4 linked regions of the Oreochromis niloticus genome follow. The main gene of each other region encodes a partner of the protein of the gene in region 3 in a complex. Links are inferred from orthologs where the notes say so. Each region holds a gene or a part of one and is shown on either strand. Other genes may lie near its edges.

Evidence for each region.
Region 1: arhgef6 (region 3) and pak1 share a complex: the UniProt entries of both Homo sapiens proteins name them as parts of the cytoplasmic complex. The link is inferred for Oreochromis niloticus from reciprocal best matches to the Homo sapiens genes ARHGEF6 and PAK1.
Region 2: arhgef6 (region 3) and dcp1a share a complex: the UniProt entries of both Homo sapiens proteins name them as parts of the cytoplasmic complex. The link is inferred for Oreochromis niloticus from reciprocal best matches to the Homo sapiens genes ARHGEF6 and DCP1A.
Region 4: arhgef6 (region 3) and dab2ipb share a complex: the UniProt entries of both Homo sapiens proteins name them as parts of the cytoplasmic complex. The link is inferred for Oreochromis niloticus from reciprocal best matches to the Homo sapiens genes ARHGEF6 and DAB2IP.

Annotation. Positions count from the first base shown.
Region 1 is NC_031979.2:35,549,488-35,557,110, forward strand, and holds the start of pak1 (serine/threonine-protein kinase PAK 1), read right to left. Parts: upstream 3,455-7,623; 5' UTR 3,267-3,454; intron 1-3,266. UniProt on the Homo sapiens protein: Protein kinase involved in intracellular signaling pathways downstream of integrins and receptor-type kinases that plays an important role in cytoskeleton dynamics, in cell adhesion, migration, proliferation, apoptosis, mitosis, and in vesicle-mediated transport processes.
Region 2 is NC_031984.2:24,735,873-24,744,246, forward strand, and holds the start of dcp1a (mRNA-decapping enzyme 1A), read right to left. Parts: upstream 3,372-8,374; 5' UTR 3,369-3,371; coding exon 3,189-3,368; intron 2,864-3,188; coding exon 2,823-2,863; intron 1,484-2,822; coding exon 1,356-1,483; intron 1-1,355. Other genes in the region: cacna1db (voltage-dependent L-type calcium channel subunit alpha-1D), read left to right, coding at 5,109-5,136, 8,123-8,374. UniProt on the Homo sapiens protein: Necessary for the degradation of mRNAs, both in normal mRNA turnover and in nonsense-mediated mRNA decay. Removes the 7-methyl guanine cap structure from mRNA molecules, yielding a 5'-phosphorylated mRNA fragment and 7m-GDP.
Region 3 is NC_031966.2:19,368,129-19,376,335, forward strand, and holds the start of arhgef6 (rho guanine nucleotide exchange factor 6), read right to left. Parts: upstream 3,188-8,207; 5' UTR 3,055-3,187; coding exon 2,890-3,054; intron 1,828-2,889; coding exon 1,744-1,827; intron 50-1,743; coding exon 1-49. Other genes in the region: rbmx (RNA-binding motif protein, X chromosome), read right to left, coding at 5,753-6,069, 6,815-6,906, 6,988-7,113, 7,319-7,436, 7,636-7,776, 7,921-8,086, 8,172-8,207. UniProt on the Homo sapiens protein: Acts as a RAC1 guanine nucleotide exchange factor (GEF).
Region 4 is NC_031972.2:15,120,131-15,127,597, forward strand, and holds the start of dab2ipb (DAB2 interacting protein b), read right to left. Parts: upstream 3,401-7,467; 5' UTR 3,192-3,400; coding exon 3,152-3,191; intron 1-3,151. UniProt on the Homo sapiens protein: Functions as a scaffold protein implicated in the regulation of a large spectrum of both general and specialized signaling pathways.

The sequences.
Region 1 (7,623 bases), on a different chromosome or scaffold from region 3:
AAATACAACTTGCCTAATAATTCTGCACTCCCTGTATGAGAGTAAGAAAGAAAAGTATATCTTTGTGTCCACCTTTCTCTGTTAATGCCCTACCTGGCCCCCTGGCAAAAGCTTTGCTAGATCCGCCCCTGCACAGTGACCAGCTGTCAGCTAAATAAAAAAAGGAGCTTGGTGTTTATTTCTCTCAGAAACAGTTCATAACTTCCCTTCAACTCATTCATGTCACCGAAAAAAAAGGTAAACCTGTTTCTCCATCACCAGTTCAGCTCTGATGATTCAGTAAGGTCATCTCCTGGTTTCGACCAGCCGCTTCTACAGCTGTGGCTCCAGCAAACATCAGCTGATACTAGAAATTAAAATCAAATGAATTCTAACAACAGCTGATCAAGCTTAAACGTGCTGCTGTTGTTTAGCGCGATAAACAAACAAGAGAGAAAAGCCGATCATTGATCAGTTTCATGACTGAAGTTTGAACAGGCGAGAGAATGACAGGGGAGGCTGTCATAAAGTTCAACATCAGTAACTTAGCGCGCACACAGCTGTATAGAAACTCCATCGTGCTAGCTACCACGCAGTACGAGTTATTATAACTGATTGTAAAAAGTCAGCACAACGAAAATAAACTACACCTAAACTCGGTTTATATCTGACCCAAATAGAGTGCAGGTCATAACTTCTTACCTGAAATTCAGTTCACCTCACGCTCCGACCGGCAGCCGCCTGCTTCTCCTGCCTTCGGTTTCCCTGATCCACGATCTACCACCGGTCGATCGGCGGTCACCTCGCCGCCTCGTTCCCCGCATGTTCTTTCTGACACACACCGGTGGATAGCTGCCCTCGGTTGTAGCTCCGCGTCAGCGACTACCAAACAATTCAGTTATTTTTTCCACATCGACCAGCATCTGGACAATCCACCGCCTTTCACTGTTTGTACCGTTACTAAAAAAAAACCCTCATCGGCTCATAAAAACGAAAAATAAGTCCAGCTATGACCCTGAGTCAAAAAGACAGCCAGCTCGGGTTAGCTAGCTGTCTAGCTCTTTGCAGGCACCGAAAACATCAGAGCTAATATGGGATGTCTTGGTAACACGAGCAGATATTTGAAGTTTACATCTGGCCAATCCACCACCTTTCACTGTTTATACCGTTACTAAAATGAATAAATAAATAAATCATCGGTCCATATAAACGAAAAATAAGTCCAGCTAAAACACATACTGTCGGCGAGCGACCGGGTGCTGACACGAGTTTCACCCGCCTCAATATAAGCCAAGCCTGGGTGCTTTTTCACGAAGGGTCGCTAGCGGTGCTAGCTAACTATGCTAGCGGCGCTAGCTAGCTAGCCGGCTATCAGCAACACATAAGAGAACTGCTGCTAAATAAACTACACCTAAACTCGGTTTATATCTGACCCAAATAGAGTGCAGGTCATAACTTCTTACCTGAAATTCAGTTCACCTCACGCTCCTGCCTTCGCTTTCCCTGATCCACGATTGACCTCCGCGTTAGGAAACACCGGTCGATCGGCGGTCGCGGCATGTCCTTTCTGTCATACACCGGTGGATAGCTGCCCAGTGTTGTAGCTCCGCGTTATAGCACCACCAAACAACTCAGTTATTTTTTCCACATCCAGCTGTAACTCCGATTCTATGCGAGCATTTGCGAGAGACAAGGGAGGTGAAACGACAGAGAGTCCCCTCGCTATCCATTTGCAGCCAAGTGCGGCAGCTAGCTAGATAGCCGGCTAGCTGTCAGGCAGGACCGACGTAGTCAGAGCACTGTCGCTAAATATGGGATGTCTTGATAAAACAAGCAGATATTTGAAGTTTACACACCTACATTCTCGCCTGAAAATATCTTAAAAGTTTATTTTGTGACCTAGAAACACTAATAAAAGACATATAAAACGAAGTGGTGGCCGCCATTGTTTAACTCGGCAGAGGTGTGCTATGAATTGTGGGATATGGAGTTTTCCACCAAGCATAGAAGCCATTGTGTTTACCGTAACGATTCAATGGTTCGCGCAACCTTAAAATCTCCAATGGTTCCTGAAAGCAGCGAGGCTGTGCGCGCCATTGATATTGTCATCATTACGGTATCCAAATAAGGGTAGACAGGCTGTACCACTCCCGGCATACCACTAGAGAGAACCAACACACCACAAATGAAGTTTGAAATTTGTTTCAATGGGACCAAAAGATGGCGCCAACACACCACAAATGAAGTCTGTTTATTTGGCGCCAAAAGATGAATTGGCCTAAATTTGCACTAAAATATTAATATTTAAAAAACTATAAAAGTTATGAACACCAAAAGTCATGACATAATAGTCCAGCTCCAGCCGCACAAAATGATCTAACATATGTAACCCTAATGTCAAAACTGTTCGGCAGAGGAGCGCGGGAAAATTTTCACTAAAATATTAATATTTAAAAAACTATAAAATTCATAAAGACCAAAAGTCATAGCACACCATTCCAGATCCGGCCGCACAAAATGAGGTAACATATATGAAGCTTGTCTCAAAACTGCGGGGCGAGATTCGCTGCAAAATTTCAGGCGGAAACTGGAGAATAATAATAATAATAATAATAATAATAATAATAATAAATCCGAGGAATAGTAATATGTGTGCCTCTTGGCATAGGCACACATAATTATGATCCCACCACACGTATATGATTCCACATAATGTGTATGTCTACTTTAGTACCTGTACTTGAATGCCCACCTGTGTATTTCTGACTTAAGTAAAAACTAAATACTTCTATCACCTCTTTCTAAATCAGTTATTACGTACTAAACAACCTTCAGAGAAACTTTTCATCTGTGTTTGGACTCACTGCTGCACATCAGTGTGAAATTCTTTTGTGTTTTCTGCCAGATTTTTCTCCTGCATTTATTTCTGATGATATATTCTGATTTCCCGTGGTCCCCCGTGTGCCTTGCTCTTGGTCTCCACATGTGCCACCCCGTGGAAAAAAACCCTGGAAACGCCCCTGCCGGTGTAATAAAATAATAATCATACCACCCACTCCTCAGACTGTTACAAGCTCTGATCTTTGTGCGGGTTTTATGGGCCTGCAGGTTCCGGGGCGTTAATATAGAGGTGCAGTGGACAGAATAAGGAGATAACAGTGCGCTCCCAGCCTACAGTAATCATTAACCCCTTCTATTCTCACGCAAATGAGCTCCCAGCGCACCATGCCCGGCTGAGAATGGAGATGCAAGGCTAATTCAGAGATAAAGTCCAAAGGTTTACTCACCACTTGTCCGGTCGTAAATGTAAATCCCACAGTGCCTGCGTGGTAATTTCCGACACCGGGACACCACGTCTCCTGTAGTGGGAAAACTCCGCTACCCTGTCGGCTCAGCCCTGCTGTGCTCCGTCTCCCTCCTGGCTGCTTTTTTAACAGTAAACTTGCCGAACCCAGCCTATTGTTAGCGAGGCGCAGAGAAGGCTGCTGCACAGAAACGCCCGCCTCCTCCAGCGCCATTGGACCCTGTTCAGCCTCTCTCTCCTCCGATTGGCTGAGCCAGATGTCCCCTAGAATCCAGGGCGGGTCGCAGCGCCCCGGTTCACAGCGCGCTGTGCTGCATTCAGTGACACTAAAAAATAGTTAGAAATTCTACTTTTCGTTGGGTACTGGCTCCCGGCGTTGCTTTCAAGTTTAACACTGACAGTAGATCTTGAAAGCAGAAAGAATAAGGAATTTATGAAACCATGAATAAGATCTGATTATTAAGACACAGACATGGGAGCAGTCTGTGCCAGTCAGCTGAAAATGCAAGTCAAATCGTTTTATCTACGAAGCATATTTAAACACAAGTAACGGAAAGATTTTTACTTTATCATGATATCATTATGATAAATGATTTATTGTATTAAGCTAGATTATTTGTACATGTAACATGTAACAGTTAGCCTTATGTACGCTAATTGTTACATGTTTTTGTTTCTTTTGTACTTTTAACTGCTGTAACTCATTTTCAGAACTTTAAGATGTCTTATGTTATCTCAAATAAAAAAATACCATCTGACTCATTTTAATAAAAAAATTAAAAGTAAGTTTAATGTTTTTAATGTTTCTTTTAACAATGAAAACAATTAACAGAAAATTGCTGTAAAAACAAATAAATCAATTATTTGATGATACAGATCTACTGGGGTAAACGACACGGTAAACAAAGAACATGCTTGTGAAATTAACCTAATGAAGAGGGGAAAATAAAAGAAACCTATGAAATAATAAATATAACAAACAGATTATATCTCCAGAACTTTCATTTGCATGTATGACATTATTATATTAAAAATATATAATTTTTTAATCTAAAATTTTCAAAGCAAATAATTAAACATGTTATTCTATGTACTGTTGCCTCATTAAGTGGGTCCAGGGTACAAAATTAGGGAGCCTAAGAAAAGTTGTAACGCTCTATAAAAATATGCTGTGTCTGTAATAACTGGACGAACATCTATAAATGCTCCTTCTCATTTAAAACCCGAGATACACAAAAAGCCTAAATTTAAGAAGCTGTTAAGCGTTTTAAGAATCTGAAGATAAAATTATATTATTTTCTTTTTCCTCCTCCAGCAAACTCAAATTAAACATGTAGAGAAACAATTTTTCTGGTTTTACTTTATGGGGAAAAAAACAGAAGAAAAAAGAATTTAGAATAAATTTGATATTAATTCCATCCAATCACATATCATGTCAGGTTAAATGATCCACAACTACATGAGAAGAAGAATTGGATGGCGCCATCTAGTGGCGAGAGGCTGTTGAAACCTCACGGTGGAAATGAGGAACGCACATAAACTCAAACAGGTTAACAGCTGTTTTCTAGTTCTGAAAAACCAAAACCCAAAAAAGTTTAGAAAGATTTGGGAAGTGAAAAATTTGCTCAGGTCCTTGCTGAAGCAAATTTTTCCAAAATTTCCTACAATTATAAACAATATATACTCACTATATACACGACTCTCACAATAAACATTTACTGCCTATCTTATGAAAAAATAATTTCTAATGTTCCCAGTTTGTTTGGACAATGATTAGAAAAACATAAAATAAAATAATAAGTCACACTGAAAGAAAACAGAAAGTAAGAAAATATCTCTTTATTATCTTTGTCTGTAGATATGCTGCTTTCAGTGGTTTGAGTCGTTTCCTCCCACACACACAAACAATTTCACACACATCAAAATGGTTTTTTGCATATTAGCGGCGTGTGTGTGTGTGTGAGAGAGAGAGAGCTTAAATTTTGTCCAGATATTCACAAGTAATAGAGGCTGAATTTTAATTACTTTACTAGTCCTCTGACTCTGATGGTGATATTTTCTTATGGGGGACTGACAGCTGAGCATAGAACAAAAGAGATTTTAATGGATTTAAATAAAATAAGACAAATGTACTGCAGATAGTTTACATGATATTCCAAATAGAGTCTACAACTACAAGGAAATAACAGTACTCCAAGTCAAAGGAACATGAGGCGCTGGCACTGAAAACTGTGAGTGTCTGGGCTCAGCTTTAAAAATATGGTGAGGAGCTTGGTCATTAGTGACCTCATAGCTGAGGTGTTTCAGACGTCTTCTACCTGGAGGAGACCCTGACACTTTGTTTTTCGGCAGCCCCAGGAACGCTTTTGTGTCTTCCTAGAAGAAGATGAAGATGGCTGTGGAGAAATCCCCACTACCCCAAAACCTGGACGTGTATATGTTGTGGCTATGATGTGACACAGTTTAAGCCTACGCTCTGTGCATTCAGATCCAAAAACCAAAACACACGATGAAATATATAAGTGAGGCTTTCAAAGTTCTTCTTATCTGATGTGTATTACATCACTGTAGAACAAACCATAAAACTGTAAAATGTACTTTCAAAACTATCCAGTGGGCTGGGTTGGACACACAGGCCCCGTTTAGTCCCCCAGATCACACATCTGATACTTCTGAACCTGCACAACAAACTTTGTGAGAGCTGTGAAGTATAAAAGCCGCTTGATAGACAGAGCGCTTGATATCGAGCCAAGTGCTTCAAAGTGTTTCTTGATGATCAGATAAAGAAGTGGCGTTCCTCCTCCAACCTCAAATAGGAAGCTCATGAAGCGAGCAGTGTCAGTGTTTGTACGACACTCACCAGGAGACCTCTGAGCAGGATGGCTGCAGTCGCACAGCTCTGCTTCTCCCTGATGTTCACTCTCATCAGCAACATTCATGCAGAAGAATTTATCGTGATAATCGAGGAAGGAGGATTCAATCTCCCAGATGAGGGCAACTTCTGCACTTCACAGTACATGAAGATCTGACAGGACGACTCTCAGTTCCTGAGACATTTCATGGTTCTTCTTTTACTCTCAACAACCTGACGGACTAAGACTCTGGACTGTACCAAGATGTGTGCTGGACTCAGGGCAACGTGTCATATGAGAGACACATAAGCCTGACTGTGTGTAGGACAGTAAGTGATTGAATATGTTTTATTGAAAATCATGAAGCAACAGCAGTAGTACATTATGAGCGAGTAGATGACAATCTGATGGTCCAGTGGATCAAATGTGAGTTTTCATGGGAAATTTGCATGGGGAGGACATTTCAATGGCAGTTTTCATTGGCAGTATGATCTGGACCAGGGCATTAATAAGATCCTGGACAATCTGCAAGCTGGCGGTATAAGGTGGACTAACATCCCAGAGCTTTTCTATCGGGTGAGCATGCAGGTATCAGTTGATTCATCCTCCAGGAAGTGTCTGCATACTTTCCAGATGAGATGTGTTGTGCACCAGGAGGAACCCAGGACTGACTGCACCACCATAGGATCTGATAGTTGGTCTAAGGACTTCATCCCAATACATGATGGCAGTCTCGGTGCTGTTGCCTGACCTGTGCGTCCCTCCATGGATATGCCTCCCCAGACCATCACTGATCCACAATTAAACCCTTCATGCTGAACGATGTTCTGGTGAACCTGCTCTAATCTGTGAAAAGCACAGGCTGCCAGTGATGGACCTGCCAATTCTGGTCTTCTATGGCAAATGCCAATCTTGTCCCCCAATGAGCAGTGAGCACAGAGCCCACTACAGAACGCCAGGCCCTCAGACCTCATGAGGTTTATTTCTGATTGTGTGGTCAGACACATTCACACCAGTGGCCTGCTGGAGCTTGTGTTGTTGCTCTGGCAGTGCTCATCCTGTTCCTCCTGTCTCTAAAGAACAGATACCAGTCCTGCTAATGGGTTAAGGACCTCCTGAAGGTCCAGAAGAATGGCACCAGCTCTCCTAGAGTGACTGTTTGTCTCCTGAAATCTCCTCCATGCTCTTGAGCTTGAGACTGTGGTGGGAGACAGAAAACTTTTTAGCAATGGCATTGATTGATACCATTGCTAGAATGGCATCCCGAAGAAGGCGGAATACCTGTGCAACCTCTGTGGGGTCTTGCTTCATACTACCAGTCGTCACACTGACTCTAGCCAGCAGGAAATAAGGAGGGAGAATATTTCTGTGGTCTCCGCCTGTAAAACCATTCCTGTTTTAAGGGTTGTCTCACTGTTGCCCCTCTAGAGTACCTGTTGGTAATTTCGTTAACATCAAATCAGCAGAAACTGACTAACAACGCCCTCT
Region 2 (8,374 bases), on a different chromosome or scaffold from region 3:
TGGGCAGTGCAAACCTTCATGTGGAACAAATGATCAAAGACTGTTTACTCTGACCCGCCTTACAGTGACCATCAGCTGTCAGACGAGCATCTTCACAGACTGAGGAATACCGTCAACCACTTTATCTGCCTGCAACTCAACACACTTTGAGGAATTAAAATGAAAACAGCAGCACTCGGACTCCTGTGAAGCACCTGGAAAAGCTGTTCCGACTCGGATACCAACAAAAAAAAATTACATCATGTCTTCCATACCAGGCAGGCTGATAGGCAAGCCGAGTCCTAAAGGGGAGCAGTCCACTCTGACGCTGAGCCTGGCCATGTTATTTTTTCTCATTAGCAAACAAATGGGAAAACAATCCAACTCCTTGTTCATTGCCTTAATGAAACTTCTGTTCAGACTTTTGATAGATTACCTCGGTGGGAGCACTGTCAGTTACTTTCTGAGGATTTGAGGATTTATTTCAAGCCTTTTCATCTGATCCTACTCCCTGCTAAACTCTCTTCATAACGCTAGACGATTTCACTGGAATAAGTCATCAGGAAAAACTGCAACGCACATAAAAATATTTATATAGTAGAAGCCTAATTCACCCCTTAGAACCCAAAGTCTTTTTGTTTGTTGGCCCAATACAGAATGAAAACTGTGGCCAAACCAAGCTGAATACTGTGTGGTTTGACAGACCAGTCTGAGGCCATGAATGACAAGGTCTTCCTCCTTGATTCTCCAAGATACAAGAAGGACTTCAAGCAAAAGGGAGAAGAGCTGTTCCAGAGAACACTGGGGAGGTGTCTGTCCAGCATTTTCAAAGGTACTAATGTGTTCTGGCATTATTGCGTTTGAGCAGGAAAAATTAAATAAAACCAATACAGCAAACAAACTTAAAACAAAATCTACAGGTAGAGAAATGCAGAAATTCTTTGAACACAACATTTTTCATTTTTTTAAGTTCATGAAATAAAAACTAAGAGTGCAGTAACATTTAGAGAAAGGTCGAAAGTTTACTGTCTGTTTGGATATTTACTTTTTTCAGTTAACGTGTAATTTTTCTTGTAAATTATCATCTCTTTTTGTCTAAAGCAGAGCCTTTCAAAGCTATGGTATGTGTTTCTCTTCGACACTACCTTTTGTGATACAGCACAATATTATGGAAGAAACATTGTACTAGAGAAATATTATGTAGCTGAGAAACATTGGCTGATATTCTGGGATAGTGGTCTTTTTTGTTCCCTCAAACTTCGAGAAGCTGTGAAGTACTGCAGCACATCCGATTTCAGTCCAAGCATACACAGAAATATGTATCTCCTGTACATGACATCTGCTGTTTCTGTGTAACTGGACTACAAAACACTCACAGTTGCCATTTCTGTAGAGCAAGAATGGATCCTGTAGCTGAAACTCCAGGTCTTTATTGATTGGTTCTACAAGGTTCTCCGTGCTCAGTCGATTCATGATGGTGAAGCCATGGTGAGGGGAAGCAGACCTTTCAGGGACAAAAAACATAAAACATCACCTCACTGATAAAACATCTCTCTATGTCGATTAGTTTTAGTCATCCATGAATGATTTTTTATGACAAAGAATTAGCACATCTAAAAAAAAAAAAGTTCACTGATTTTCAGATCAGTTTGGCCTTTTCATCCCATTTTTGTTTCTTTAGAGTGGCTTCTTGATAGCCACCCTTTCAGTGAGATCATTTCTGATGACACTACAGTAAACAGTGCATGGATCAATTGAAAGACCACATGCATCTTTCAGGTCCTGTGGCAGGTCATTGCTGGACATAGTACCGGTTTTGTACTGTACTGTTCTTGGCATCCTGAGCTTACTCCATGGCCTCATTCTGGTAGCACATGACCAGAACACCGTAGTTGCCTAGTTTTCAATGTGGAGGAGTAGCAGCTCAACTCTGAGTCCCTTGTGAATAACTGAACTTCTCATCCTATCTCTAAGGGACAGGCCAGCCACCTTTTAGATAAAACTCATTTCAGCTGCTTGGATTTGCCATTTCATTTTATTTATTTATTTTTTGGGGGGCATTTTTGCCTGACAGACAGAACAACGAAGACAGACAGGAAAGCGGTGTGTGTGTGTGAGAGAGTGAGTGAGTGAGTGTGTGCGGGGGGGGGTCAAACCCTGGCTGCTGCTCTCTGGCCATGTGGTCACCTAAACTGCCACGGATGGCTGAAGGTAGGGATGTAAGATTGAAAGTTTCCCTTTTGGACTCTGCTCTTTCTTTACCACCGCGAATCTGTAAACCCCGATCAGTCCATCAATTTCACGCTCCCCTCTCCCCTCAATTGTGTACAAGATCCCATACCTGGAGGGAGCACTCCACCCTTTTCCAGCTGAGAACCATGGCCTCAGGCTTGGAGGTAGGTTGTAGGATTCTCGTTTACTATATACATTTTGTAAATGAGAATTTCAGAGAATTACATAATTCTCAATTCTATGAAAGATATTCATATTAATCAATAACCAATTAAATCGGTTGCTAACATTTCGTTATTTTCAAATGAATACGTGAACAGCCCTCAAAACAACGATGCGCATTAAAGCTGTTTATCAAACAAGTCTTTACACTTCAAGTGGAATTAATTTACTAAAACTTTTACTTATTAATTTCCTATTTAAACAGGCTGCAATTTTCGTTCTGTGAGCGAATAAAAATCACACGTAATCTAATTCGTGTTTGTTTACAAAGACTGAGGCCTGCACACGTGCGTAGAACACGTCAAATGACAGCGCGTGAAACGTAAGAACAAGTAAACAAGCCCTCGCGGTCAACGCGTTACATTACTATAAAAACCTCACGTGCTTACCTTGCATAAACAAACAGGGTGCCCTCGATTTCAGTCTTCTCCTGTAAAACAAAAAAGTGAAGGTATGAGTCAGAAACTATAAACATGCTGAATAATAGCAAAGGACGCTGTTAGCCCAACTATAGCTAGCGCATAAAAGATTACGCTTATTGGCATTTAAAAAAAATTAAATAAAACAATTATCAAAATGACAGTGGTGGCAAAACACAACGTGTGTAAGCATTACCCGAATAAAGTTCACTTCCACAAATATGATCAAATTTCTTTGTATTTTTTGTTTATACAGAATAGCTAGCATGCTAAGTCAAATACTTAGCTAGCTTTGACGGCTTTCTGCAAAACTCTGTACGTTACTTACAAACTTACCCACTCATTCGCCTTGGAGTTAAAGTTATAGAGAGCCACCTGGCCGGTAACATCGAGCAATTTGTTTATGTATGGATCGTGCCTCTGTAGAGCAGCTAAGCTCATCATATGTCCAGCATTTACGGTCTCCATCTTGGATATGATTGTTGCTCCCGCACGGACGGAATTCAGCAGACACATATAACTTCCGATGTCCCCGGAAACCACGGCTCTTTAAAAAAGTTTCCGAGGCACTGATTTATTCCGCATATTAATTCGAACTGTAATTCTGGTCAGTCGCATTTAGCTAGAGCTTAAATACAAAATGTTTGTACGAAAAAAAAATCTGGTGACTCTTTTGAGCTTCAAAGTCGATCAAACAACGACAACAACAACAACAACAATAATAATAATAATAATAATAATAATAATAATAATAATAACAACAACAATAATAATAACTCATGATAATCGTGGCATGATTAGATATTTAGGATAGGATATAATTTCCAAATAGTAAAACCTATTTGAGGAAAACCTGTTAAAGAAAAACGATATTTATAGCTGTGTGTTTTAATTCTGAACCTCTGTAACACTTTATGTCTTCTTTAGTTTATGTTCTTTATTTGAAATCGCACTCATCTATAGTCACGTTAATTCCGAACTTTATTCGAAATGGCAGACTGATAGTGAAAAGTTAAAACGCCCCTGTGTCCTGGCGTGACCTCTTTGTGCTTATTGTAATTATTTGGACATAATACTTTAAACCCATTGCATGCATAGTGGGATTGTGCAGGATTGCCGTCCGGACCGAGCTGCAGCTGCCTCCCTCACCTGCAGTTTATGGAACAGTGGAGCAGGATTATAATCTGGGGATTACGCGCCACCGTGAAACTTTATCCCGCAGGCTCAGGTAATCCAATCACGGGTAACCTTCCAGCACCGCTCTAACATCCCATTTCCTCTCGAATCTTCGCGGAGAGAGGACAGAAAAAAGCGCAATGAGGCCCCCGAGAAGAGCCAGGTGATCTAATGCCGTTCATCATAAGGGCAAGACCCCTGAGGGGTAAGTCCGAGCGTTTAACTCTTCAGATGGATAGGATAGGATACGGACATGGTGTTCATCCTCAAATACAGAAATTTCCCTCTTAAGGGAAAGTATAGTTGTCACCATTTGTTTCTAGCAGATTGTTCACTGTTCCGACTGGTTTCTTTTGCGTAGTCACGTGTCTCATGACCTTCATCACAGCGCTGAACCGAATCGTAAAGAATAAACAGATTCGGAGGTTTTGAGACCCGTGGATAGTTTTAAAGTAGAGACAGTCCGAGGTACACGGTTGTACTTTAAACGACCTTTAATTGCAGCCTTGCAACAGTTTTTAATTTAGGATCATACAATATATATAGTGAGATGGATATACTGATTTCTCCCTGTCTTCATTGCTCTCTGATGTCATCGCACGACTTTATTCTCCAGTCAGCTGTTTTGTTTTTAGAGGGTTCTTTTTAAAGCAACATCTGGCGTCTAGAGTTAAAAACATTTTAATGTTTACGTTGAGATGATCGCATTCGCTCTTTGCAAGTTTCCCAATAGGCGGCAACAGGTGCATTTCCAGTTGGTGGGCGCGCGTGATTTCAGCACAGTGGAGCCCACGCGATTGCTCCAACTTGTGTCAGTCCGTCCCCAGCCACAGAGAGGATAATTGACAGCAGTGGATTGACTGCCCCTGCCAGCGCGTCCTCTCGGATACGCCGTGAATCTGCAGGCAGGCACCCGGATGTGGCGAAAATGTTTGGCGCTCCTCTCAGGGTCTGCGCTCGGAAAACATTTTATGATTCAGGTTAAAGGCTCTGTTCAGGTTTCGCGCCTTCGACACCTTCGGACGGTTTTTCCAACGATGAGTTGGATTTAAAACGGATCTTTTCGATGTGGATTCGAGGATGCAAGAAGCAGATGAACAGTCTGAAGGTAAAAAAAAAAAAAAAAACCCCAAAAACGTGCGTGTGGAAGCGCAGGAGGAGAGTTGGAGCGCAGCAGAGAGAGAGGGAGAGGGGGCGAGAGCGCTCGTTCGGTTTATTCTCTGGATTTCTGATTAATCCGTGTGATTATATGCTTTGAGTCGTGGCTGCTGCTGACATGTTTTTTTCCCTCCCCAACTTATTCCAGTGCAGGGATTGTGTATTAACACTGTAAGCGCTTGTAGGCTACATTATTGTGATAACATCAGTTCTCAGATCCACTGGGAAGCGAGTTGAGGCTAGTTCTCCGAAAAATGGTTGACTATAACGGTCATTCTGAAACCATGTGACAGGGTGCTTTGAATATATTCGCTCTCCAGAACAAGCTGCGAGACGCTAAATGAACTTTTTAAGTAAATTCCTTCTCTTCTAAGTTTTTCTTTTAGAGTTTAAAAGCTGTCCAAACAAAAGCAGCAAAACTCGACCACAGCAACATAGTCAACAGCTGTTTTCCAGCATCTTGTGACAGATGTGCGACATCCAACAGAAGCGCTGGGTTAATTCCTTTTACATGTCGGACAGGCTGTGACTATTATTAACTAGCAGCGTGCACTTGTTCTGCTGCACCTGTGGTGGTGGTGTATCGCTGTATGAGAAGGGGTGGTGATGAAATGTTTTGAATGCACCTCTCACCTGCGATCGCGCTGACATCAAGCGCAATTAAAGTGAAGTGATGTTTCGGATAGACTTCCCCGCATAATAAACTATCATGTTTTGACTACACCGTGAGCGTCGAGTCATGGTGACTATGATTTTGCACAGACGAGCCCAGAATATTGATGAAAAGTAATAAAATTAAGTAGCTTGCCTGAAATCTGATAAAGGAACCAACTTTGTGTAATCATTACCTTTTAAAAGAAAAGCTTTATTCTTCTCAGATTTTGTGCCTCTCTCTCATATTGCACATGACCCACACAAATAGATTTCTCATTTTTTTTCTTTCTTTTTCTTTATTTGCTTAGTTGTGTGTTGGAGCTGTTTTTGCTGGATGACACGGTCAGTCTATAGCTGACAACACTCCCCGATGTGACTGTGCTATAGAGTTGCAGTGTGCGACTGTGTCAAGGGCACTGTCTTTTTAGCTCATGGTCTGCATTGATTTTAATGACGCTCTCTGTCTCTCCCATTCATGCAGGCTGTTCTGCTTTCTCTTTCTATAGCTGTCTTTTCTGGGCTCCTTTCAAGCCCGTCATCACCATAATTATAATCACCATAATCACTTCTTCTTATTTTTCTGCCCATTTTATCTCTGGATGGGTTCTTAGAGGACAGTTAATTGCATGTTCAACAAGTAATTGTACAAGGCAAGTTTAAATGTGAAGTAGTGATAATGTTGTCGACATTATATATGTATGTCCACTGCCCTTAGGATCCTAATAGACTTTTGCAAAAAGCTGAAGTGAAATTCTAGCAGTTATCTTCAGTCGCCTCATTCATAGGGAAAGCATGTTGATGTCCTTGTTTGAAAAGCACTTTAAAGACTGACTGATTTTTAAGACCAAGACTATGGGTATTATTTATGAGTCCTATCATGACAATATTGTTTAAAAGTAATCTCATTTTATTGTCACAGCAGGTTGTGGATTACACCTTTATGTGACCAGCTGATCGTTGAATTTGTAGACTTCCATCACTTTGCCAACAGTGAAAATGCAGAGTGCTTTCTGGTGGGCAAAAAATGCAACATCCAGACTAATAACATGGCTGAAGGGTATTTTTCCCATCGCTTGTTCACTCTTACACTTTGAATTTATCAGCCATTATATAGTAATGCCTCTGCCAATATATGGACTAATAGCTAACATAGCCAATATATCAGAGACATATGGCAGCTGATATATCGGGACCCAGCCAAATATATATATATATATATATATATATATATATATATCGTTTACACTTAATTTCTTTTAGATTTTATTTATAATTTAATAATAACAAACAAGCAAAACAATGTAATGTTCCTCACATCCACCCCTAAGATTACAGGTACAAGACAGAAAAACCCCCCCAATTTGATATAATTACATAAACAGTATAAATGATAGGGATGGGGGGGAGTCATTCTCCTTAACTCACCATCAGTTCATGAGTGTGCCATTATTATGTACATTAATAAGACAAAAACATCTGCATTATGAGTGAAAGGCAGCCAGGTGGTTCTGAATCTTTCCAGAGACTTGGCTCTACTGTAACTCAGTTTTTTTAACACAGCATAGAAAGCATTTCTCTGACCCAGATTTTAAAGGATGGAGTCTTGTCTTTTTGACAATGCAAGAAAATACATCTGTGAGACGTTAAAGGAGCAAACGCAATTGTCTTTGCTGGTGCTGCGGAAATCGTGACCTCCAAAGGCAGGAGAGCCACAAGATGGAGATATATGGAGATGCTACTGTGTTTTGTCTACACAAGAATGTCAGGGCCTCAAAAAATATTCTTCCGAAAACTGTTCAATGATTGGCTGTGGCAAAACATGTGAGCTGGAGTGGCTGGTTCTTGATGGAAGTGTAAACACGTTGAGCTAATATAAGAATATATTTCTGCAAGTTTATCATTTGAATAGTGTAGATTAAGAACACATTTTAAGCAATTTTTCTAGAACCCCCTGTGGAGTTCAGTGTTTTTATCCTGTTTGTGCCTTTGTTTTGCCCCATGAGCGTAGATTCATACTCTGAATATTAGTGTAGATTTTGGATATGTTACTTTTTGTATAGGGATCCAAAGTAAGTGTATCATCTGCATTATTACTGGCTGGCAGATATGAGCCTTAAATGCTTGCTAAGAAAACTTCTGACTTGTAAAAATGTGGAAAAAATTGGATTTTGGAATGTCGCAGCTTTTTTGCAGTGCCTCCAATGACACACATGTTCAAGTGTTTTTGTTTATAACTTCAATCTCAAAATGTTTTATCCTTGTTTCCCATTCGCTCTCTCCAGGGGCACAGTATGCCAGCAACAGAAGGACCACTCCCCCAACTGACACCTCAGCTCCCTGGTCAGAAAGAAACACCCATCTGCACCAGCTCCATCCATCACAGTCACTTCATCCTCCAGCTAGCACCGGCAAGCCCGTCGGCTCCGCTCATGGCCTCCTCGGGGCCAACAACTCCATTCAGGGCCCCGGTGGAGCTGCCCCCGGAGTCAGCCCGGTCCTCGCTTGGCATGCCGCCATTAGCGCAGCCCGGCAAG
Region 3 (8,207 bases):
GGACCTTGCCAAAATTGTCGCCAGTGTATAACCACTCTGGTTCAAACACCTGGATGGAAAATTTCAAAAGGTCAAAATTAGATCTGTTTTTCCCCTTCCCCCTCTGATTAAATAGATCTTGCACTTGTTTAGTGCATACATCCACAGCTAGAGAGACAGAGACACTCGCTCCAGGTTATTGCACAAACAATGGAAAGAGACACACATAATGAAATGCACACAGGGATTTGAATAAGCCTCTAACAAGACAGACAAAAACTGACATGTTTGACCCATATTCTGTGTCTTAGCAGTTTGTAATAAAACAGGCAGCGTTGCAGGCACACACAGATGCTCACTCGCACACTGCTGCTCGGTCAGTCTCAGACAGCTATCTTCTTTCCTCCAGTGGATAAGGTTTCACATTTTAAATAAAACATCTTAAATATAGGGTTTGAGTAGTATAACCTGCATTATGAGTTGTGTACAACATCTATAAGTGTGATCATTACATCGCTTAATGTGGGACGAGCCTTAGGGTCGATGTAACTAACAAGACTTGCGCTACAAGTTGAAAAAAAAGATAAGGGAAAAAGAAAGCTGGCACATAACATTACCTTTACAAATACTGGCTTTACATCACCAAAAGCAAAACAAACCGTTGGTCATCACGATAACTGTTGCCAGCATTCACAAAGGTTTTGGCAGGGGTCAGTAGTTTCAGTGAAAATGTATTTATGAGTGTAAAAATCAAAGCAAATAAATCTTCACATACAGTTAATAACACAGAACAAATATTGGAGAGCCCCAACAGTAATTGATGCTTCCTCTTTCTGCATCTCGGGGCAGAAGTGAAAGCAGAATGACTGCTTTCTCCAGTCACAGGACAAACAGGCATTATCAGCTATAGCAAAAAGGGATGAAAAGTTCTCTTAACATGATCACATCACTGACCAAAGGATGGGCGAGGTTTGCCATAATGCCACACAGACATCCCCTGGCTGCTACATTTAATAGCGCCTCTCCAAAAACCTCTGCCCATGAGCTACTGGCTGGCTGCAAAAGGTCTAATTATGGGCTAGGGCACAGTTGGTGGATAAAAGCAAAGGGGACCTCCCAGACATAACAAGCCAGCTGGGCAGACCTACTGAACCACTTGACTTTGCAGTCAGCCAGCCTTGCTGACTCAATTGGCTGTTTTAAAGAAACCAAGCGTTGTGATTCAAGACCAAAAAATATTATTTTTAAAGCTGGAAGAGACATTAACGTCCAGTGTGGTGGTAACAAACAGGCTGGTACAGAGACAGGGTAACCTCCCAACATCTGGAAATGATACACCACTTTTCAATATTAGGGAATGCACTGAGCGAAACAGCACTGCTTTGGGGATTTTTGACCTGCAGCAAAACTAACCATTAAGTCACGAGTGCATGCAGGAGAAAAGTTATTAACAAGGAAGTAAATGCTGTTCAGAACTAAGTTGTACCAATTTGAAAACAGACAGTGAAGTCATGCAGGCCAGCACTTCACTTGCTGACTGATTAGTGAGAGTGAGTGACAGCATGTCTGTTTATATGGCTCACTCCACATGGACGTGAGGGGAAAGCATATGCCAGCAGGGTAAGCAGATCAGAACACAAGCAAGAGAGTGTTCACATCTTGCAGTAGACAATTAGGAGATAACGGCAGAGTGAGGTCAGTGTATTTCAACAAAACATGCCTCTGAATATAAAACTTGACAGACCACACATTGAGATAACTTACCTCCACTTTCAAGGACGAGCATCCTTTTAAAAACTCCTTGATGTTGGAAATGCAGTCTGCTTCAGTTCTCGGGTCCTGGCAATACTGAGTACACGAAATAAATATATAAACACATACCTCGGCTTAGTATGTCAAAGAGGCATCTGACACACTTATCAAACGCTCAAGGCCAAAGCTACAAATCACTTCAGTATACACTGAGCCCCGCAGTAAGTAAAAGAGATGCCGCAACCCGACTGTGGCAACCTAAAGTTAAGAAAATAACTGTAGATTCTTCCTGCGTCTCCTTCATGCATATATAACCATTACCACCTCAAAACCGCCGTCAAAGTAGCCTTACTCAAGCAACTTCCGCTCATTTTACAGTTTCAAAATAAAATCCCCATCGACGAAAAAAAAAAAGCTGACGTTTGTGTTTTTTTAAGCAAACTTCTAACAGTTCCTGTGAGACCAATGTTGTATTGCCACCGAGAATGTATGTAAAACTAGGGTGATCCGTCTGCCATACAAGGGAGAAGTTAGTACTTCCGATTTTGTTTCGGGCTCACGTTGTCGCCGCTTTGCGCTTTTTTGTTCTTTTTTTTTTTTCTTCAAAGGGGAGGTCGCACCGGGAAGAGCAGCCGCTCAGGAGGAAGTGACGAACTGTCTTTGCAACTGTTATTTATCACTATCAACTTTGCCATCTAAAACAGTGAACACAAGTTGTTTTAAAATTTATCACCTTTAAAAAAAGGAGTCAAACAGTGTGGCAAACTCCTCCGTTTGTTCTGTACAGTACGGTCTATGCGCAATGTTTAGCGCACACTTGCTACTGAATTTGCCCTGTTTTGGTGGGTGTTCACACTGGCTCGCACCTCTCAAGAATGCGGAACATTTCTGTCGCTTCACAGGAAACCATATCGTGTATTCGCAAGTCTGAAACTCTAACTGTTGCTGTTGTTTTTGACGCGACACGCATCGCGCAAAACTATCACAGACGGCTGTTCAAACTTCATGGTTCGAGTTCAGTGAGCTACAAAATCGCAAAGGCCTGCTGGAGGGAGAAGTTCTCGTCGGTATCACTTTCATCAAACCCCTCCCTTCTTTTCACCGTCGACGGATCGTTTGGCATTTGTTGACTCGAGTTAGCTTAAATCAATAACTCACCTTGGGAGTGAAGCCAGGTATGAGGCGCTCCGAGAGCTTGCACAGGACGACTCCATCCTTGAGCGAGGTTTTCAAAAACTCCTCCGGATCCGCTATGTTCTTTTTAGGGGAGCTAAGCACTCCTAATGATATCAACCACGTTACAGTCTGCTCCTCTGGATTCATAGCTCCACGAAATGACCATTGCCTAAGCCTGCATTGCTTTTAATTTAAAAAGGAAAATAGCTGGCGTCCTGTTCCGTATCAATATGCAACTCACATCCGCACTTCTGCTAGAAGTTTAAAAAAAAAAAAAAGAGGCGGAGGGGGGGGGGGAGGACGACGCTGTTTCTACACGCAAAACTGATGATCACCCCTACTGGCAAATAGGCACCTCAACAATAGGGTTTTTTTTTTTCCGTCTTCCCCCTCTGCAAAGTAGCACATGCTGGCAGAGGGCAATCATAATTACATACTGAAATACAGCAAGGCTCAGAAAACATGACCGATATCTGCAAATTGCATACTGATAATTCAGAAGAGGCAACTATTTAAGTCTAACATGATAAAGAGTAAAAACTTATACATAATTGGGTCACTTTTTTTTTTTTTTTTAGATATGGAAAATGGGTCATCTGCCACAGGAAGCCTTACATATGGGGAAAATGTGATATTTGCAGATATTGAGTGTCTCAGCTAAAAAAATAAAAGTTTAATCATGTCATGGCCAAAATCTTAAATTTCAGGACAACAAAACAGCAAACGGAAAACCTCTTCAAAGCTTTTATTGAAAACAGTACAGAGTGCATTTGATGGCTGTACATTTCTCCCACTTTCAATGCGTTGCTCAATACGAAGATTCAGCCCGACCTCTGAACAGAAAGCTGTGCCAGCATCTGAAAGACAGCAAAAGACATCAAAAGTTAAATTTAACAACAATATTATTTGTCCAACAAACTTGGGTGTTTTTTGCATGATTTTACAACTTATACACAAAATAATATACACAGCAGCCAGAACAGGACTTTCAGGAAGTAATCTAAAAAGAAAATACAGAGTCACAATAGGACTCAACCAACTTAGTTTTGTTTGTTGCATTTAGTGGGCCAAACTGAGGAACTTCCTCATAGCACCTCATACAAAAAAAAAGGTTCAAATGTTTTGTACAGAAGTATATTTGATTTCTCAAATTATTTTCCTCCTAGCATCTTAAAAATAAACTAAATTCTTTTGGCATATCAAACCATTTTCAAAAACGGGTTGGTATCAAAGTGCCCTGCATAGCTCTACTTTCTAGGATTCTCTAAATTCCCATTTTACAAATGCATTTTACATTAATAAGTTACAGAAAATAAAGTAAAGCAAACAAAAACATACCTAACATGCAGAAAATACAAAAAGGTATTAAAATAATCATAACGCCCACTGTAGTCAATTATTGAAGACTTTACATCATTAGTAATGCTGACAGGCTCACATCGATTTTAAATAAACACACTGTGTTCATGATTTGGGGCAAAATTGCTGTAAAATGTCTCAGCAGTAAAGGTTGTCCATCCCATCTTAATTGTGTACAGGTAGATAAAGACTTACTAGTCTGTTAGACGTGCTTATGCAGATTCACTGTAGCTCAACTAGTCCAGCAACTTGAAGACATTCAGATATGTTGAAAGGGCAATTGCCTTGAAGCAATGTTCATCCTGCAATGAGAAGATCATATTAGTATGGTGCCTTTTTCTTAATTATGTATTATGAGGTAACTGAAAATTATATTGTTGTCCTTGGTCCAACTGTACATTCGTTTCATTGTTTTTCGGTTTGGCAGTTAGGACGATGGTGCTCTTCCAAAGGTCTCCATTGTTTGAATTGGCATGCTCAAGGAAATGATTTTGATACCAAGTCTTTAATTTAAAGATTGCTTTCAGGTGTTTATAGAGGAAAAAAATTACTAAATATAACCCCATGATGTAAAAAATGCACGGTTGCCAATCATTTTACTGATGTTGGATGACTGGTTGGGCAAAAAGGAGCCTTGGGGCTCAGTTGGTAAAACGGGTGTTAAAAGCATTCACTGGTGAAAAGGGAAGAAACTTCTTGGCATGTTGCTGCACTTTTGACAATTTTGAGTGACGAAAATGGACTACAACGAAAAGGTTCATTTCAGTCGACTTCCTTTTTTCCTTTTGTTCCTTGAAGCCAAGTTTCCTTGAATATCGCCCTTTGACTGGAGAGTGCAATACAGGACAATGAGAAACTCATTTACAGATGAGAAACAAAGAGTTTTGCTTTGCTTACCAGCTGTTGACTATCAGTCGAGTTGCATTTGGTCGTTGCATGCCATCAAATGGCTCTAGGGTGATGAATCCATTTCCAAGGAACTACATTGGAACATTTTGACAGTAACATTTGCCTAACCTTGAAAACAGTAGCGTCCAGTTGGAAGTACATTTGTGGCAAGAATGAACGCATCTCACTCCAATATTTAGCAGACTCACCTAAGTTTTACAGAGGACCTTTTTAAGGAGATCATGTTGTTACGTAACATTTGTTACGGTCTGTTGTTGAAAAATCGATGAGAAAAAGTTATGGTACAACTAAAACCTTTATTAGATTAGGAAAGCCATACTTATAGGGCATTGCAGATTTCAACAGCACTGAAAGTACAAAAAACTAACACTCACTTGGTAACTGTACTGACATAAGCAAGAGAGAAAAAAACTTTTACACATAAAAGAAAAAAAAAAATTGGGAAAGTCAAGATACAGTTCAAAACTAAGCTTCAGATTCCACAAATTTAGACATGGCTAGTTTGTCCTTCCTCCAAAACACGTTTTAAGTGTGCATGGAGACTAACGTTTGGTTTAATGACATTTCCAAGTCCAGTTCAGTATCTGCTGCGAGCCATTCCTCTATCGACTCGACTGCCACCACGGCCACCACGTGGCCCTCCACGACTTGAGCTGTTGTATGAGTCACGAGGAGGGTAGCCTCTCTCGGCAGGGGGAGCTGGGCCCCTATCCTGTCTGCCCATTCGCTCACCACGGCTAGGTGGATATGGGTCACTCCGACTGTTGGGGTAACTGTCACGACTGCCATAGCCATCCCGGGAACTGCTGCCATAGTCATCATAACGACTGCTTCCACTGCTCCCACCATAGGATGGTGGGGGGCCCCTTGAAGGTGGGGCGCTGCGAGAGTTACCTGCAGGGTCAATGGTTCAGGTAATTGGCAAAGTTCAATTTATACATTTTTCTTTGCACGGTCAAGTGCTATTTTTTTTGCCAATAGAATTCATTCTGTGACAAAAAAATAGATAAAACTTAATGGATGGCATATTTAAAATGTTCCACCCTTTTAATACTTAACATGGATATTTTGTTGATATGCGCAGTAATATATCCAAGCACAGAACAAATAGGCAGTGGTACCCATTTCAGCATGCCTTTGATTTGAGTAGCCATTTTTCCATTTAGAGATCCAAGTGTAGGTTAGGGTGAGGTTTTCAGTTGTCTTGATGGTTTTCGAAGATTACTCCTTGAGGGAGTACTTTGCTGGACAACACATAACGGGCAACGGATGTTTCCACGGATTTTTGAGGTTCCTTATGGTTGCAAAAACTTTGAGGTGCATCACATATACATGATATTGCCAAACTCATATTCTCCTGATGAATGCAGGGGTAATGCAGACTTTGGTATGTAGACACTTTTGTTTTTCAGTGGAGATGCCAATGGTAAAATATTTCTAGTAGTATGAAAATATACAACTTGGATTGTAGGTCAGGGAAAGAAAAAAAATAAATTACTATGTTGTTTCCTCTGAGGATGCAAAAAAAACTGCAGTATCTTGTGATAGGACAAGGCAGGTTTGGTTGAATATTTGTGCACTTCTTCTTTGTGCCACAGCGATTACACATTGTCATTTCACTCATGGAGTTATGTCTTACCGTAACCATCATATGAGTCTCGGTAGGAGCCACCACTAGGACGGTCCATATAGCTTCTTGGTTCCCTGCCTCCTCCATAACCATCACGGTCACTGCAAAAAGCAATTGTCACTTAACAACCAAGGGAGATCTGACCTCAGGTTTTTACTTTTTGTATCAATCCAGGCTCATACCCGTATCCTCTTGACATTGAGCCGTAGTCATCGCGGGAAGTGGAATTAGAATATTCTCTATAGGAATAATCTCTGGAAGGTGGCCCATAGTCCCTAGAATCTCTGGAGTAATCCCGACTGGAGTAGCTGTGAAACATTACAATACACCTCAACTCTGTTTCCTGAGCATAAATTTGTGTTAAATATGTGGACTTTTTAAACAGAAAATTCAAATATAAAAAAAGATGACCACAATAGCTCTAAGCAACAGCAACTATCAGCATGTTACAGTATATCAATCTTGAGGTTTGCCATGTATGTTCACACTAGTGTGTATTATGAAAATACCAACCTGTCTTTTGAGTTGTAATGATCATCTCTGGGTGACGGATAATCATCCCTTCTGGACATCATCGAGTCTCTGCGAGGTGGAGGTGGACCATAGGGATCTCTGTCCCTTGACATGGGAGCTGGAACACATAATGAGAAACTGATGAGATTAATCACCAAATTACCATGAGACAGAAGTATCCCTAGTTACTTGCAAGAGAAACAGAAACTAGATACTAAATGAAATCTAGAGACTAAAATCTGTACAATTAACTTTTTTTTTGTAATTGCTTCCACATCACTTCCTGCATTTAAATATTGCAGAGTACAAGCACTTACGTCTGCTCATGGGACCAGAGGGGGCAGACCTCTTGGGTGGGGGACCTCCATTTCGAATAGGGGGCCCTCGTTTCATTGGAGGGGGGCCTCTGGATGACATCCCTTTAAAGAAGGGTTCTACACTTCCTGAATCATAGTAGTCTTTTAAACAAACAAGAAATGCACATATTAACATACTACATTCAAAAGCTGCAACAAAATTCCATCCAGAGATTATTATATCATTACACAGATTCTTCCAATTTACAAACTGAGCAGACCCAAAAACACAACTAAATAAATTACCTCTTGATGGGGGGCCTCTCATTCCACCAGGACCTCCCCTTGAACCACGTGGACCTCTGGGTGGCCCGCGACTGCGAGAGTGCATGGGTGGAGGTCCGCGCCTGCCAGCACTCTCAAACTGAGGTTTTGTAGCTTGCTCAACTTTGATAGGCTTGCCATCAAGAGACTGGTAGAAGAGTTACAAGTATAAATCACATTTTTTAGCTGATTCTTTTTTATTTTTATTACAGCCAATTCGAGTTATCACTTACCTTTCCATTCATTTCGCGTGCGGCATCCTTTGCATC
Region 4 (7,467 bases), on a different chromosome or scaffold from region 3:
TGGCTTGTACTTTGAGGACCCTGTTTTTTTTTAACCATGTTACATATTTGATGGTTTCTCTGGTTTGTTGCTGCTGTGTTTGAGAATACATGTACTTGAGTCCGAAACATATTAAATCAAGGGGAAAATGTTTTCCCTCTTCAAGGGGAAGAGGAGAGAATTGTTCTTTATGTGCTTCGTTATTATTGCTGATTTTATTGAGTACACTGTTTTAATTTCCTGTGACATAAAAGATGGTCAAAGTCTTTCGTGAAAATGGAGTTTGTTTCAGGGAAATGCTTGCTGCCAGCTCCTTTCAGTACAGTTTGGTTCTTTGATTAAGAGTTTTTTTTCACATTCAAACTGTTGTAGAATCTGTGCCAAGACAATCAGAAAAAATAGTACTGCTGTCAAAAAGGGAAACCACAGCGGCATGCAGCTGAAATGCAAAGAGGCTGACAGGGACGATTCTTTACTTTATTTCTATATTAAATAAACGGTTTTGCTGATGGTTTACCTTTTTCCTCACTTGCATTTAACTTCCTGTGAACCTTCACATTTCTCTCTTGCACTCACACAGATTATGTAACCCTTCTGACCAGCTATTATTGTCAGTGCTGAGGTTCCAATACAACACACAGAGTAGATTCTGCGTTTCTTGTTCATATAAGGATAGCTCTACTAATAACAGCCTTTCGTCTACGGGAAGTACACATCTGTGCCACGATCATCTCGGCACTGTGCAGCTGTGTTTTCTGCTGTTGTCTTGCTCACAGATGAAAAGCAGCAAAGGAGATGAGATTTCACTTGGAGCCTGGATGAAACTTGCGATGGGTGACAGGTGTCGTGTCAGAACAGGAGTAATGTGTCAGTAAATAATGAAGAACACTGTGGGAGTCACTTTTATTTTGTCTTCCAACTGCCATAATGCACAATACAGCAATGTTAGTCATTTAAACAAACGCCAACTGTTTTCAGTGTTTTAAGAGTGCAATAAAGATATTCACTACTTAACTGTAACTCAAAGTGCTTTGAAAAAATATTTGCCCCCTTCCTGATTTCTTGGTTTGTTTGTTGCCAGGCATCCTCTTAATTTAATTTTGGTTAATGTGGCCAAAGGGGGACTTTTATGTTGAAGACTCTTAAACATAAAAGTCCCCCTTGCCCACATTAACCAAAATAAAAGACCAAATGCTATGATCAAACAAGTTAAACATAAGTAGATGGGATGAGGCATCAAAATTAGATGAGGGAAGAAATGTTCTGAGAAACCAAACCCTCTCTATTTAACACTTAGAGACAACTTATCAATATTTTATTAATGGGTTTTTAATGTACTTGGTGATGTTATATACATAAATACGTCAGTCAGGAACTATGTTACACAGCTTGCTGATATGGGATTTTTAATACCAATACTAATATTTGGTTATTCAAAAAGCCAATATTCCAATATTTTGGTGGATATTAAAAAAATAAATAAAAATATCTAATAAAAGGAAACAAACAGATTTTCCTTTCATTTGTTATGTGTATTCTATATTTACTCGTTTATACTCTGCTCAACTGCTCAGCAAGTTGTATTTGTGGTGTTCAAACTATGGAACGTTTATATTCATAATTATTGAATATGGGTGTTTCTCACAGCTCTACTTTGCTTTTTTATTGTCATTAATCAGCTGTTATAAATGCCAAATCAATATATTGGCAGGTAGGTAATATCAGCTGATAATAACATGTGACAACCTGGTTGGCCTCTATTAACTTGCACATAATCATTTTCAGTGTATGAAGAAGTCTTCACATTCTACTTAAGACATCATCTATGGAGGATCAAAACTGCCAACTAAGAAAGAAAGAAAGTTAAATGTCATCAGTGTGTTACAAAAAAATAAATAAATGAGCATTCGTTTATAAAAATGTAACATGGACTGATGTTTCTATGACAGTTTTCTAATTTCTAAGGTTTAGTTTTTCTTCATTTTCCTCAGTAGGCAAATGAGGGGACTGTCGTAGGTTCAGCTTTGTACCTATTAGTTGGTCAAGAAAAGCTCAAGACAGAAATGGTTCATGAGACTGTTAGAGTAAGGTGCCGAGCTAATGTAGCTCAAAAAACAAACAGGCAAAACAACACTCAGTACTGTTAAAAAATATGAATGCAAATCAAACTAAATCAGCTTGTTACATTTCATAATTTAATCAGTGCCAAATTATATTTGTTTTTGGTCCATTTTTGGTTTATCCATCAGTTTTTTTAAAAATCTTGGGCCTCTTTACATTTACAGTTTCAATTTGTTCTCTACACCTCGCCAAGTTTTTTTTTCAAACTTCTTGTTCTCACTAAGTAGCCTTAATTAGGTTGATGCTGAGATTCCCGCGACACATTAACAGAATTATCAAACCTTTCATTGTACAATAAATCAAAGTAGGCTTCACTGAGGACGAATTTATCCCTCTGGCTCTAATCAAATGGATTACACAACAAACGACCAATGAGTGCGAACAGTCTAGTTCCCAACTCAATACACAGCAGGATCATCCTCATCACCGAGGGCAGCTATCAACCTCCACAGACCAAGCACAGCAAATGTAAATGTGCTCTAACTCAGCCCGAGCTACTTGCTTTGATCTTTCATGGTTTAAAATTCACATACGACCTGCATGCAAATTATGTTGTCACTCTATAGGAGCAAGCTCAAACAACACTTTCTGGCAATCAGCCGCAACCTATTAAACACTGTAAGTTGAAGGAAAAAGCAGCACAAGCCTTGTCAGTATATCTAGGTCAGAAGAATGCAATGTTTTCTAGTCCGTATCCACTTTCTCAGCTATGAAGTGAGGTAGTCATAGTAGCACGAGCAACTCCACTTTAATGTACTCTTTCAGCACTGCCATATGGAAAAAAATACAACACATACACACACACTATGTAATTTACAGTTACAATCATCATGGTTATCACCTCTTTTAACACAACACTTGCACTCATGGACATGCATACGAGGCAAAGAATTACACAAACAGAAAGTGCACAGATGGATACAGAGAGGGAGAGAACTGGAGAAAGAATCCAGAATTCTAACACTGAAGTAAGGAGAGGAAACAGGATGACTGGTGATGACAAGAAATGGGAAGGAAGGCAGAGAAACACAGATCTTATTCTTGCTTTTACCTGACAGGGAATCAGAAGACATCTTTCCCTGCTGCTGCATCTTCAATGCTTGATCCAGATTGTGTGGCTGTAGAGTGAGCGAGCCAGCACGCCTCACTGTGTGTGTTTTGATGACGGAGTCTGTGTAGCAGCTCGGGGAGTGAGCGAGCGAGGAGCGAGCGAGCAAACAGAGCCAGGAGAAAGGTGCGGGAGAAGAAATGAGCTGCTTTTATTGCCTCGTCAAGTGTCTCCAATCTCATTCTGACTTTCTCTCATTCCTGCTCTCACTTGCTGCGAAAGTGGATGTGTTGGACTTACATGGAGCACATGTACTGCAGATGAAGATTTATGAGGTACACAGGGGCAGGGAAATGGGAGGAGCATGAGAGGAGAGGGGAGTTGCAAAGGTTGAAGAAGAGGAGGTGCTGAGGAGAGGAAGAAAGCAATCACCTGCTAGTGTGGGCTTACTCAGTCAGGCACTGAGGCATTATTCTTCCCTCCCCTCTATGTAACCTTGCAACGCAGAGCGCTAAGCCAGTTCACAGCTTACATGTACTGCATCACTTTGACTGTGTGTGACAGATCCAATCTTTAGTGAAACTGCAGTCTAAATGGTATAATACCAGCATGTCTACATGAGGGCACGCAGGAAATCAACACGCTCATTCTTAAGGCTTGGGGAGCTTAGTATAGTGCACAAAGAAGAGCCGCAAGTGCAGAAAGCTTTGTTCTTTTGTCTTAAGCTGATGTTTGTATGGAGACAGGTCGGTTAATGTTCTGTTGTTCAAACTCTGTCTCCACGATAAATAAATGAAGTGGGATTAGAAATTCTTAACAACCTTGGCGGCTTGTAGGATGAATGACTTTTCGCTTTCACTTGATTAAAAAAGGCGTAACCATTAGATGACATCAGATGTGCACTGACTCTACAATTCAAGGAATGCACCACGTTTTTGAAACACTGCGGGATTTATTTGCACCTGCGAACATACCTCTCATTATGCATTAAGGCTGTCAAAACTGACCAAAAATTTGATTTAATTGTTCTTTAAAAAACACAAACATACATAGTTTAGACTATTCGCCTACAAATGTCTAATAACAGGAGACATATGTGCTTATATATGTATGTCTATGCTCAACGGTGGCTTTGTTAGGTTCATCTGTTCAACTGCTCATTAATGCAAATATCTAATAAGCACAAAACATGAAAGTAACTCAGTGCAGGCATGCAGGCACGGCCAAGATGACCTGCTAAATTACAAACTGAGAATCAGAATGGGTCATTTAAGTGACTTTTAATGCAGCATGCTTGTTGGTGCCAGATGGGTCTAAGTATTTCAAAAACTGCTTATCTCCTGGGATTTTCCCACACAACCATCTGTAGAGTTTACAGAAAATCATCAGAGAAAGGGAAAATATCCCGTGAGTGGTGGTTCTCTGGGTAAAAATGCCTTGTTGGTGTCAGAGGTCTGATGAAAAATGTCCAGACTGCAGCAAGCTGAGGTCAACAGAAACTCAAATAACAACTTGTTACTTCAAAGATATGCAGAAGAGCATCCCTGAATCCATAACATATTGAAGCTTGAGGCAGATGGGCTACAGGAGCAGAAGACCACAGTGGTGGCTACCCTGTCAACTAAGGACAGAAAAGCAGGGGTACAGTTCTGACACAACTGGAAAAATGTTGCCTGGTCTAATGAGTCTTGATTTCTGCTGTGACATTTGGATAGTAGGCTCAGAATTTGGTACAAATAACATGAAAGCATAGAGCCATCATGCCATGTAGCAATGGTTCAGGCTGCTACTGGTGGTGGAATGGTGTTGGTACTCAAATCATCTCAAATTGGTTTTTTTGAACAAAAAATGAGTTTGGTGTACTCAAATGACCTCCACAGTCACCAGATCTCAATCCAATAGAGCCCCTTCGCGATATGCATGACTGCACACCAATCCACATCACTAACACGGTCATCAAGTTTATAGATGACCGTGTTGATGTGGTGAGATTAATACACAATGCTGATGAGTTTGCTTACAGGAATGAACTGTCAGTATGGTGCTCCATCAATTACCTGACACTCAGTACCTCTAAAAGAAAAAAGCTGATCCTGAGCTTAAGGAGACAGAAGGAGAAACTTGTCACATTACACATGGGTGGAGACACTGTGGAGAGAGTGTCCAACTTTAAATTCTTTGGCACACACACATCCCTTCAGGACGTCACATAGAATATAAATACAGCCTCTCTGGTGAAGAAGGCTCAGAGGTGGCTCAACTTCTTAAGGATGTTTACAAAAGCCAAACTGTCCAAACAGTTGCTGGTGTCCTTCTGCCGTAGCTCAGTGTAAAGTGCACTCAGCTATGGAGTTTTGGTGTGGCATTCCAACTGCAATAAGGCTGACAAAAAGGCTCTTAAGAAAACCATCCAATCGGCACAACCAACAACACTCACTCACACTGCACTTGAGGAGATCTACAGAACCCTGGTGCTCATGTCAGACCCCGAACATCATCAAGGACTCTTCTTATCCTGGGCGCCGCCTTTTCACTCACTTGCCCTCTGAAGGATGCTACAGATCAATAAAAGACTGCGGCTCCAGACTACAGAAAAGCCTCTGTCCAAACTGTCAAAGTGCTCAACTCTGTCTCATAACACACTCAAAACATCCTGTGCAGTATCACTAGGGGCTTCTCAGCGGATGTGTGTGTATTTCTTGTAATTCCTATGTGTGTGTGTGTGTGTGTGACCTTTCTTTCGTCATTGTTGATGATGATGATGCTCCCTTACTGTATTTGCTTGTTTCAGTTTGACTAACATTTCATTTCACTCAGTGTAAGACAGATGTTGTTTGAATCCTTCATGCTTTCAGGCTTTATACCACTGTACTGAAAGTCCAGCAGCCTGACCTCTTGTCAAGCTTAAGCCTAAGGTAGGTTTGTAGGTAAAGATATTTTGTTGAAATAAGCTGATACATTTCAGTTAGCTACCATACATTGTTGACCCGCCGATAACTGTTAAATAAAAGTTTACGTAAAAGTTTTAAAGAAAGAATAAAGAGAAAGTATAACCAGCTTTGCGTCATTTGCAGCTCAAGAGCAGGGAGTTGGAACTGAATATATATTTTTCTTTTCACAAATCTATGTAAGGTTTGTTTTTTTCCACCCCCACATCACTATTTATCATACTTCTGTTTTTTATTTGCTAGAACTGGAAGTTTCTTTTTCATCTTTGCCAACACAGATTTATTTAGCTTTGGGAAATACATGCAAAGTTCCTCTTCCTCGGTAAAAAGTAAAAAGCCCCAAAAAATTGGGTTGAATTTGACAACTGGATCCATGTTACTTTATGTGCTACATTTATGAAATATAAAAGCTCAGCCTTTCTGAAAGTTCCATCTTGGTCCACTGTGGTAGGATATAATTTAATACAACATTAATAAAACATTTAGATTTTCTTAAAGCAAAGCTTTACAGAAAGAATTTTAATGTGAATGCATTATTCTAAATTAAGAGCAGACTTTCTGCTCTGGGAAGCAGATCTGGAGTTCTCCCTCCCATCCTATTACTGAACTGCGTGTGACTAATATATTCCTCCTACCTACAATGCATTCACCCGACTCCTTCCCCCTTATTAGAATGTGCCGCGATAGTATACTGTACATATAACAGGGTCAAAAGAAATGACTTCATTATGACATGTTCTGGGAAACATATGCATATTCAGAGAGTCCAAATGGATTTTATTGCAGGTTAATGCAGATACAGTACAGTGCTCCTCCAGGAAATTTAAAATCAGACAAAGAACAACATAAATAGCCTCTTTTCACCCACAACTAATGAGAAACTTTTATCTCAGAATATATTAAAATGAAAATTCTCATTTTTATCAATAAATATGCACCAAACAATGTGGTGCGTACCATGCCAAGGATCCAGGCATCTAAAAAATTGAAGATGATGTGCTATTAGTGGTAAATGTTAAATTCTGTGAATGTCACTACATGCCATTTTGCTCACTGTCATCTTTCCATAGGTTATATGTAGCCTCAGGGCTGAGCCTGTTCCTTTAATCTACCCTCGTGAATGGCAGACCGATGAACTGAGCAGACTACTGGCACAAATACAGCCAGTGTCAGTGTTTGAAAACCATATAAAAAAAATATATCAGGCGAATGTATAATGTGTCTGAGTTTTCTAACTTGTATGGGTTTGGAAACACCAGTGGACTACTTGCAAAAGCAACACCATGTTGACTTGTTAACTATGTGGTGTGCTGTGCTGAATGGATGCACGGCCAGCAGTTTGTCAAATTCTTACTGTTAAGAGGTCATTAA